2 linked regions of the Schizosaccharomyces pombe genome follow. The protein of the gene in region 2 purifies or fractionates together with the protein of the main gene of each other region. This does not show direct contact. Each region holds a gene or a part of one and is shown on either strand. Other genes may lie near its edges.

Region 1 (4,626 bases), on a different chromosome or scaffold from region 2:
TAGATCGTAACGCTTCATTTGAACATTCAACTTTCATAGTCGAAAAATCAATAGACGCTTCATATTTTTCAAATTTGATTTCAACCCCCTTTTCCGTTTTAGTCATACTTTCGCCAAATTGGTTGTCCAAAAACATCATCAGCTTTTTAATACGATCTTCCTCCTTTGATACTTTTGGAGGCTTATCTAAATGCGAATGCAAATGGTTACATTTATGGCTCGTCACTATTAATGGTTAGAAATTGTTCCACATTAAACGCAGACTTACACTTGACAGAAGCAGGACTGCTTTCAATGCCTAGTAGAATAGTAATTACTGAATCAGCTATTGTATCATTCATAATGTTGCCAACCCATTCAAGAGCAAGCTTATGTTCTTGGATTAAAGTCAAAGTAATGGCGTCCATTACTGTATATTGAGGTTGTCCTGCCTTTGTTTTTGACTGTTTGACATATCCAAACATTTGTTTTAAATGGAAATTTGCAAGCTCCATACTCGAAAAAAATGGAATGACTTGTTTTTGGGTTAAAACGGTGGTAGTAAGGTCACTGAAATCTCGAAGATCTTCAGCTGACATCAATTTATAATTGGCATCCTTTTGAATTAAAATTCCACTCATAATGTCGCCTTCTTTTGGTTTATGAACAGCGACCTTTCCCAAAGCTCTCACTAACCGTTCCCCTTTGAAAGGAAGATATAACGGTACGCAATTTCGAGGGGTATATACTTTGACATCGACTTTTCTATTGTGAAATTTGCTGGCTAGAGCACTTTTTAATCGACCCATATTTGTTTGCTCACCATGCACCAAAATCTATAATTAGTTAATTTTAACGTTACATTAGTAACTAAACATACAATGTGATCGGCATTTACCAGGTCAATGAATTCACTGTTTTGAAGATAATCAACATGAGCCGCAAAAGAAAGTTCCTCCACTGCCATTCTTCTAGGAATCTTTTGGCCTGAAAGTGACACAATTTCAATAGGCTCATTTGTAATTTGCTTTGCCATTGTCCCTTCAACAGAATAACCAGTAAGAAGTAACGTATTTCGAGGGTCAGGAGCCCATCTTTCTAAGAGGGTTCTTGAAACACCATTTTGTAGCATACCAGGACTTGCCAATATTACAGAAGGGCCAATATCATCGAATTTTTCTAAATTTCTTAGACTTTTGACAAAACGAAAGATGAACGGATTTCGTTCGGCAAAAATTTTTCGAATATTATCATTCATCATGTTAACATAAGTTTGAAAAATGGCCATACACTTTCTCGCTAGCGATGATGCATAATAGATAGGGACTGAGCGAAGATCGAGATGATTATTCCAATATTCATCGAGAATGAGTAATAACTCCTGAGCTCTTCCAAGAGCAAAGACAGGCATCAAAACTCTCCCTCCATTGCGAATAGTGGAATGAATAATATTTAACAGTCTAGCCTCCTTCTCCAGTCTTGGTTGGTGAGATGCTGTACCATACGTGGATTCTGTGATCAGCACATCTGGTCTTTTAGGAGGAACCTCAGCGACATGCAAATGGCGATCTTCTTCTCGTGAGTAGTCGCCTGTAAATAAAATATTGACTCCAGCCATTTCCACAAAATACATACAGGCACCCAAAACATGGCCCGCATGATAGGGTGTAAACTTTATACCCTCAACTTCTATAGTTGAATGGTAGTCAACAGCCTCGATTCTATCAAAAGCGGCTAACAAATCTTTCTCATCGTAAAGCTGATCTTCCATGCCTACATTACTGCGAGTTGTTAATGAATACTCAGAGCTAAGAATACATACCTCACTTTCACGTAGTCAGATAAAAGCCACTTGCAAACTGCCTTTGTAGGATGAGTCATGAAGACACGACCTCTAAAGTTCGTCTTTTGCATAACATAGGGAAGCGAGGCTACATGATCCAAATGGAAGCTTGCTTAAGTTAGAAATACTTTTCAAAAAAAAATGAATCAATGCCTAAGGGACCATAATAGTAATTGGTACAAGAAGTACTCTAATCTAATAACCTATGGTCGTCTCAAGTAGTGGTACAAAAGGGACTTACTGGCTAATTAAAAGTACATCTACAGTGCTCAAATCAAACTCATCAAAAAAAGGAAGAGCTGAAAGCCCAGTATACGCAGGGTGAACACCGGCATCGAGCTAGCAAAAATTAGCATTCACAATCATAACAAAATAAAAATTAAAATACCATTACTGTTTTCCCTTTGTATTGAATAACATGGCAACTGCGACCAACTTCATTTCCGGCTCCCAAGTTAATAAACTCCAGTAAATCCTGACATTGGTTAGAAAGTAGGCCCTTATAAAAAATCGTAAATTCAAGGCTTACGGATGGGTCTACAGGTGCATCTTCATCAAATTCCTTTCTTTTGGACATCTTTCCAAGGGCTTTTGTCTAAAAACCACAATTGGAAAGACAAGGTCGTGGGTGCTGGGCAAGCGCGAGTTATTCTTCACCTACGCATTCAACATAAATTGGGAGAAAGCAGAACAAAAATTTACAACCCTTTTTTTTTTAATTAAGAGCACCTAATTCTATTTATTATTAATGACTTCACTTTAATTGATACTAGAAAACCGTACTTTAAGGAGCGAAGTAAAATGTTTGTGCCAAGGCAACTGAATGTTCGCAAAATTAAAGCATTTACAGGGAAGGAAAATAATTCTATTGCAGATGGAAATAACAACAAATTGAAAGATGAGCATTACAAACATAATGAAGCCAGCAAAGAACCAAGTCATTCCATAAGCGGAGGACTCATGTTAAATCAACAAGATAGACAGCTTATTGAACCGTTAAATCCTGACTTTTTATCAGCCGTTGATTCTATATTAGAAATTTATTTTCACCGAGAAAGGCAAAAAGAAAAAGTGCACTTGGCCTTTTTAATCCAGCAAGATGATTTCTGGAAAGGAATCCGCCCGAATCCAACGCAAAATAACTTGAAGTATGCTTTATCTTATGTTACTAATGCGCTGTTTCATTTCGATAATTCCTCACACATGGTTATTAGAAATGAGAATATTGTTCTTCCTCTTGACATACCACTGTATGATAGAATTATTTACGTTGAACCAGTTCCGGCTACTCTGTCTAATAAAAGTTTACTTTTGGCTGGGAAACTTCGCAAATACCTCAAAGAGTTCCTTCCCTATGTTGATGCTATCGGTACTCCTGAAGGTTATGCTTTTGTAATTTTGTACAAAAAGGTTGATCAATCAGCACTTAGCAAGTTGCCTGTCCCTCCTGGATGGGTACTGTTGACTCGTAAAGAATGGACAAATCGTGAAGAAAAATATTTTGAAAATCAACTCCATTTAGTAAAAGCGTCATCTTCAGACGTTTCAAATTCATCCAATTCCTTTCCTGAAAATCGTTATCCCAAACTTACTAAAGTAGAAAAACAAATGACCAAGTCTGTATCCAAAACCTCACAAACTGATAAAGATGAAGATAATTTGGATTTTACCAAGAATCTTTTGACCCGTATCAAGAACCTCCATCCTTTAACTAATAAATCTACTATTCACAGCCTCTTGAGTTATGTTTTTTCGCGGCAAACTCAGAATATTGCATGTGAGCCCATGTATATAGACTATAGGAAGGACGAAACAGAGGCGATAATACGTTGGAAAACACCGCTTCATGCTGAGACGTGTATCAACGCGTTTCGTACACAAGAAAGGAAACAAAACAGTCATGATGATATTCGGGCACATAGGAAAAAGGGATCTAGCCGTCCATTCCTGATTGCTGAGCTAATTACCGGAGAAGAAGAAAAGAATTATTGGCGTATGTTAAAAAAGTAATATGTTTTCCTTTCTCTGGTAATACTAATTTGATTTATTTACTACTTTATAATATATTCTGGTAATATAGGCATACAAAAAGGTAACACGGTCGTTATTCTCACTTTAATACTAAATTTGCATTAACAGTTTTTTGTATTAATAACCCCTCTAATTTTCATTTGGCTGATAACCTATTGCGATCAGCAAAAATTCCAATAAACCATGAACCACAAATATGTAAAAACGGTTTACCACCCCACAATTGCAAAATTCTATTACTTAGATTTTAATTACATATTCTGTACATCATTGTTGCTCCCGGCTTGTATTTTCCTTAACGCCTTTTAACTACGAAACGTAATATTCTTCACTGCTAACAGTCTTAAAATGAAATATTTTCTGTATGTTATATATTAATTTAGCATACCGAAAAGTTCTTGAAATTGAGGTGTGTTTTCATAGGTCTGAGTTAAATTCTTACATCTGCCATTCTAGTCTACCACAAACCATTCTCATGTCTTCACGAGCTTTACGGAAACTTCAGCGTCAAAGACAAACCGAGCTATTGGAAGAAGCTTTAGACAGTGAATCTGATGAGGATGACGAGTTTTCTTCAACTTCCGGGAAAAAAGTAGTAAACGTGTTCGAAATTCTCGAAAAAGAAAATAATGCTATTAACTCAGAGGCAGAAAAAAGTGTTTCTGAGGAAGAGCAGGATGAACCATTAGTAGAAGGCGAGTCTCCAATTGTCTCTACAAATAAGAAAGCAAAAAATAAAAAGAAAAAGAAAAAGCAGCAGAAGAAGAAGAAAG
Region 2 (5,908 bases):
CAGGCTCCTCGCTGCCAAGGTTCATGACTAGCATGTTGATGGCGGCCTTTGAGCAACAATATGCAGCCCACGCGGGAAAAACACGAACAGCAGCGCCAGAGGATACAATCACAATAGTACCCTTGGTTTTACGCAAATGCGGGATTGCATACTTCACTGTTTCAACCACACTGAAAAAGTTGATATCAAACAACTTACGCCATTCATTGATATCTGCATCAGCGATTTTGGCTATAGGTTCAAGGACACCTGCATTTAGAATAACCGAGTCCAATTTTCCAAACTTTTTAATAGCAGTTTCGATACTAGCTTTTCCAACCTCCGTAACGTCACCCTTCACGTGAACAAATGAGTCAGGATTTTGAATAAGCAAAGTTTCTAGTTCTGGGGTCAAGGACCTACTAACAGCAATAACCTTGGCCTTCTTCTGTAGAGCTTCTGCAGTAGCCAATCCAATACCCTTAGAGGATCCAGTCAACAAAATAACTTTTTCAGCGGTTTCGGCCATAATGCTTTTATAGAAATTTATAGAAATGTAGGGTGTGAATTACTTTAGTGTAAAGCCAGATTGTGGAACTGAGGAAATATGTTAGCTATGCTATGATTTATATCATGATGCCAAGATAACGAGGTTCCGTATAATCACAATAAAGTAACCGATATAATCTTAATTTTGCTTATTTATTCACGAAAGGAATTGTTATATGGTATTAAAAAACGAAAGTAATGAAGTGCAAATACAAAACAAGCTTGCCATTCCCTTTATTTTTGTTAATGGTCAAACATTACTAAAACAGAAAAAATAAATATGAGTATGAAAACAACATACTTTATTGTATTAATAGAGCTTGATGCAGTAATTTCAAAAAATTACCGAGGAAACTTTTTTTCAGTAAATTGTCTGTTTGTATTAATTTCAGTTGTCTTTCGAATTTTCAAAGAATAGGTATCGTTGGATTGCTTTTCAGCTTGAACGACGTTCCTTCTAAGGATTTCCGCAACAGCATTACCATTTTGGATTTCTTTTTTTGCTTCTTCTGGAGAACAGCACCGATGATTGTGAAAACCAGTTCTGATTTTATCCCTTGCAGCTGCGAGAATCATTGGGTCCCCTAAGTATCATCTGTGAATAAAAAAAAACATACTTGTTGATAGAGGTTAACCCACTTACCTTCAAAAACCGAATTGGATGCTCGCCAAAGATTACGAAAGCATTGTTTAGCAGCTGACATTACTAACGTTCTAAATTCTTTAAAAAATATTTTTAAAAACAAGAAAAAACGGTCAAAAGAACTAGAATTGGTACTGAGGGACTTTAGAAAAGGGATCGATATGTTAATGATATAATTCTTATTCTCTTGTTTAAAGTCAACTCAGGAAAAACTCTGACAAGAGAAAAAAAGAAGATACTTCAACCAAAATTATTGTTATGGCGATTACACGTTATTTATAAAGAAATGTCAGCAATGCACATGGTTTTTAGTGACTCTCACAATCGTGAACTCTGCGACTTATAACATTACAGGTTACAATGTTACTTCTTCTAATCCTCTAAAACAGAATGATAACCTACTACTTGGAAAGACCTAAGTTACCCATATACTGCAAAAAATGGTAAATTCTGTTTATTAATTCACGCTAACATCCTATAGCTTCCATTAACATTATTGAATGCAACTCAAGGTCGTCCCATACTTGTTGAGTTAAAAAACGGTGAAACGTTTAATGGTCATTTAGAGAATTGTGATAATTACATGAACCTCACACTGCGCGAAGTCATTCGTACTATGCCTGATGGTGATAAATTTTTCCGTCTTCCTGAGTGCTATATTCGTGGAAATAATGTATGTTGTACCATCCTTTTCTTTGCGGTCGAACATATTAATGCCAGCTGTTACTAACACAACAGATCAAATACCTGCGTATTCAAGATGAGGTGCTTAGTCAAGTAGCTAAACAACAAGCGCAGCAAAGAGAAAATCGCGGATCGCGATTTCGCGGACGTGGTCAACGCGGTCGTGGAAACTATGGTCACACAGCACCAAACCGTCGTGGCCGTGGTAGAGGTGGACACATGTAAATATCCCTGTAATTTTAAAAAGTTTTTATGGTCTCTCTTTAATGAGTGTATGATGCCCGTCCATTCATTTCCCTTCTATTTCCCCCTCTTCTCTAGAGCTCTAAGCCTTGTATAGGGTTTTACACTAATCCACAATTCTAATTTTGGTTTATGATATTTTCAAAGTAGCTTGTCTTAACATTGTATAAAGTCGGTTTGTTGGATTTAAAATCATGCTTGCTCATTTTAAGAAGGTTTAGCTAGTATAGAAAGGGACAGCCCTAATGGAAGCTGCAATATGCATATCTAATTATTCACCTTTTTAATTTGCCTAGGATTCCGGTACGAGTATCTATGATCAAAACACTACTGATTCCAATTTAACGTAAAGCGCCAGAAAATTACACAGTCAATAGTCATAACTAAGTTTTTCTTGTTATTAAATTTCTCATCAGATCAAAGCTGTTGCCGTCAGGTTGCAAGTGAACTACTTTCGTTGTAGGCTCATTGTTTTCGTTTAACAGTTGAGCTAACAGAAATCCGAAATCAGAGGTAATCCCTTGAATTATTGCTTTACCGCCGCTTGCTAAATTGACCGTTTGGTTGCTATGTAACCAATATTGGTAATATTCTGGTAAAATAAGAGAAAAACCCTCTTCCAAAAGTAACCTATGATAACGATCAAACTGATTGAGTACACTGGCAAGCAGCTTTTCAAAGGAAAACTTCTCTAGCCGCGGATTATCAGAGTTTTTGTTCCATTCATCTACCAGAGTATTCAAAGAAACAGTAGGACCCAAGTTACTGACATTTATTCCACAGCCAACAACCAAATGTAAGACATTTTTTCGGTAATTAGAAGTAACTATGATTCCAGAAAGCTTCATATACTGCTTACCTTGAAAATTTATTCCACCTTTATCAACACGCACATAAACATCGTTAGGCCACTTGATAAATGCAGGAATATTTTCATAGCCTGGAGCATACTCACGAATACCACGGACAACTGCTAAGGCCATCAAATACTGAAAAAGCGCTATAGGTGTAGTAGAGAAATTTTTAGCATCCACGTTGATGATGAACGAAAACGCGAGCGTTCCATAGGGAGAGACCCACATGTTTTGACCTCGGCCTCGACCAGCAGTCTGGTAATTACCCAACACGGTAAAACCAGTATTCGTTGAATCCAAAAATCTATAGTTTTTGTCTAGTAGAGTTTGAGTTGACCGGATTACTGGTGCAACTATAATTGGTAAACCGAAACGACATCCGTTAATTAACTTTGCATAAAGCTCTAAATCAAAACTAGGCTTCGCTTTTTTGCATATTTTTTCTTCGTCACCATACCATATTTTTACAATTTCATTATCAGAATCTGACAAATCGGCGGAAATATCCAAATTAGCAAGTTGATGCTCCGGGATTTCAGAACTTATGTCGGAAAACTGGAAGGTATACAGAGTGTCCTCATCTTGATTTTTTACCTTATTTGTAAGAGCTTTTTCAATAAATCTTTTAGTCTCCACATTATTCGGGAACAAGTACTGATCAGTTAATGTAGGCTGACCACATTTAGATGTATCCTTAGGAACCTTCAACCCAAGGAGTTTGAGAATATAGGATAACAATTCTAATCGTGTTTTCTCATCTCTTTTATCTAAAATGGGGCTTCCCTCTGCTGAAAACTCAGGATGAATACCTGTAAGTACAACGTTTCCCTTTCCTACTTTAACATAAATTATAGCTGCTGATTTCTCAAAATCTGTCTCTTGATAGCGAGCAACCACCTTAACATTAGAATAGTTTTCTGTCTCCAAAAAAGACCCACCTCCATTAAAATATATGTGGGTATGAACGGGGGATGATTGCATGCCATCAACAATTATAGATGCCCGTCGCGCCCCATCCTCGCTATCATAGGTAAATCCAGGAAAGGTAGGACCAGCACAAGTTCCTGGAAAAAATTGAAGTTTCCTTTTCCCTACAACGTTCAAATCAGAGTCTGGCATTCGAAAATCAACCACCGCAGAACCAAAATATCCTCCTGCACATAAACCCAGATAAGCTCCCCCTCGCTTGACAAAATCAGTAATTTTCCGGTAAATTGTTTCATTAAAAGAAGAACAGTAACCCATATCTCTTCCGCCGGGCATAACTAACAAAGCTGTGCTAGCAGGCCAAGGTTCTTTTTCTAAAGTAGAGGCGTCGACAAATCTCATTGCATATAGCGGAACGACAAATGGTAAAAGGGATTGAAATGTTCTCAGTAGGCATATTTTGGAGGCCCCATTGCCATTGTATATTAAAACATTCATTGTTTCAGTTTGCCTTTGTAATGCTAAAAAATAGTTTGTTCTAATCCAAAGAGGTACTTAAAAAAATTGTAAACCAATCTGTAGAGTAGTATAAGTAAAAATCTCAAGTAAGTAGTAAGCAGTCAGGTAGTTTGGTTCAAATATACAAGTTGGCAAATAGCTAAATAAATGCGATGATAATTTTCCAATCATGTTTGCTCGCTTCTTAAACACCTTAAACCCAACACAACTGTCAACAATATTTACCGCAGTGGAAAAATACACATTAAAGCGCGCTTCATTCGAAGGCAATATACATATACTGGTAAGTTAAATGTGTTTTTTATTTTTAAAGAGAATCGCGTGTCAACTACGCGTTCATAAACTATCATAATGATCGATGACTACATTGTTTTTCCTTTTAAAAGCTATATTGTATATAGCTTAATTTACCGCATATGACTATGGAAATAAAGAATATCAAAAATATTGTAAAATGCTATAGTTATACTCAAATACGTAAAAAAAAACGAAGAACGTATAGTTAAGTTATGGAAATGTTTTTTTTTAATTGCGGGACCTCCTACCGCTTTATTCTGTAAAGGTTTGGAGAATAATCTTGAAGCTGGAGAGCATATAAATAAGGACAATTAACGATTCACAACATAGCGTAATTATTGCTACACTTAATAAATACATAAATATACGACTGTCAAGATTATTCGCAAAAGGATTTAACAAGGTTGTAAAATGGTGGTATCCTAAATCAGATACTTTTCTCATATCATACGTATTTTTACTAATGCAAACAATGCTTGGAAAACCAGCTTTGCAGTATTTTGGCAAGTTGTCAAGATATCTATATAAAAATGGTGAGCCCATAAATATTTGGGTATATAGTAGAAACTCAAGTTTTTCTGTAATTCCTAAGAACGGTTTGTTGTCGCCTAAAATTACTCAACGTTTTTACCAAAACAGTTCAATTCAATATCAAAAAGACAAAAATATTTACGAGCCAAAAGAAAATTTAGAGGAAAAAGAGCTTTCTGAAGGGTTTCTTGACGAATCAAGGCTTGAAATTCCAGAAGCAGGCCATAATTGGGAAAAATCCTTTTTCGGGTTATCTTCTCAACCGTTTAGCAAAGAAATATGTGATCTATTAACAGCACCGCTCGAGGTCGACGATATAGAGATAAAACCGGACGGTATTCTATACTTACCCGAAATTAAATATCGTCGTATATTAAATAAAGCATTTGGTCCAGGTGGTTGGGGTTTAGCTCCTCGTGGAAATACCAACGTTACTAGCAAATCTGTTTCAAGGGAGTATGCGCTCGTTTGTCATGGGCGACTTGTATCTGTTGCACGTGGTGAGCAAACTTATTTCGATCCGGAAGGAATTGCTACTGCATCTGAGGGATGCAAGTCTAACGCATTGATGAGGTGTTGCAAGGACTTGGGTGTAGCAAGTGAATTATGGGATCCAAGATATATTCGAGTATTTAAGAGAGAAAACTGTGTGGAAGTTTTTGTTGAAAACGTTCTTACAAAA

The links.
Region 1: the proteins of lsm4 (region 2) and pof8 purify together in Schizosaccharomyces pombe (affinity purification with western blotting, with the first as the bait; one study listed by BioGRID). This does not show direct contact.

Annotation. Positions count from the first base shown.
Region 1 is NC_003424.3:3,621,246-3,625,871, forward strand, and holds pof8 (LARP7 family RNA-binding protein Pof8/Lar7), read left to right. Parts: upstream 1-2,477; 5' UTR 2,478-2,623; coding exon 2,624-3,832; 3' UTR 3,833-4,126; downstream 4,127-4,626. Other genes in the region: cleavage and polyadenylation specificity factor complex endoribonuclease subunit Ysh1, read right to left, coding at 1-225, 269-815, 860-1,760, 1,802-1,930, 2,064-2,161, 2,211-2,297, 2,352-2,399; protein Rqc1, read left to right, coding at 4,329-4,626. UniProt on the Schizosaccharomyces pombe protein: RNA-binding protein required for assembly of the holoenzyme telomerase ribonucleoprotein (RNP) complex. Specifically binds telomerase RNA ter1 and promotes assembly of ter1 with catalytic subunit trt1.
Region 2 is NC_003423.3:3,084,597-3,090,504, reverse strand, and holds lsm4 (U6 snRNP-associated protein Lsm4), read left to right. Parts: upstream 1-1,588; 5' UTR 1,589-1,611; coding exon 1,612-1,614; exon of another isoform or gene 1,615-1,652; coding exon 1,653-1,844; exon of another isoform or gene 1,845-1,909; coding exon 1,910-2,080; 3' UTR 2,081-2,481; coding exon of another isoform or gene 2,482-4,377; 3' UTR 4,378-4,452; downstream 4,453-5,908. Other genes in the region: SPOM_SPBC30D10.05C (sepiapterin reductase), read right to left, coding at 1-508; chaperone protein Mzm1, read right to left, coding at 871-1,112, 1,172-1,232; bpl1 (biotin-protein ligase), read right to left, coding at 2,482-4,377; mgm101 (DNA repair protein), read left to right, coding at 5,159-5,908.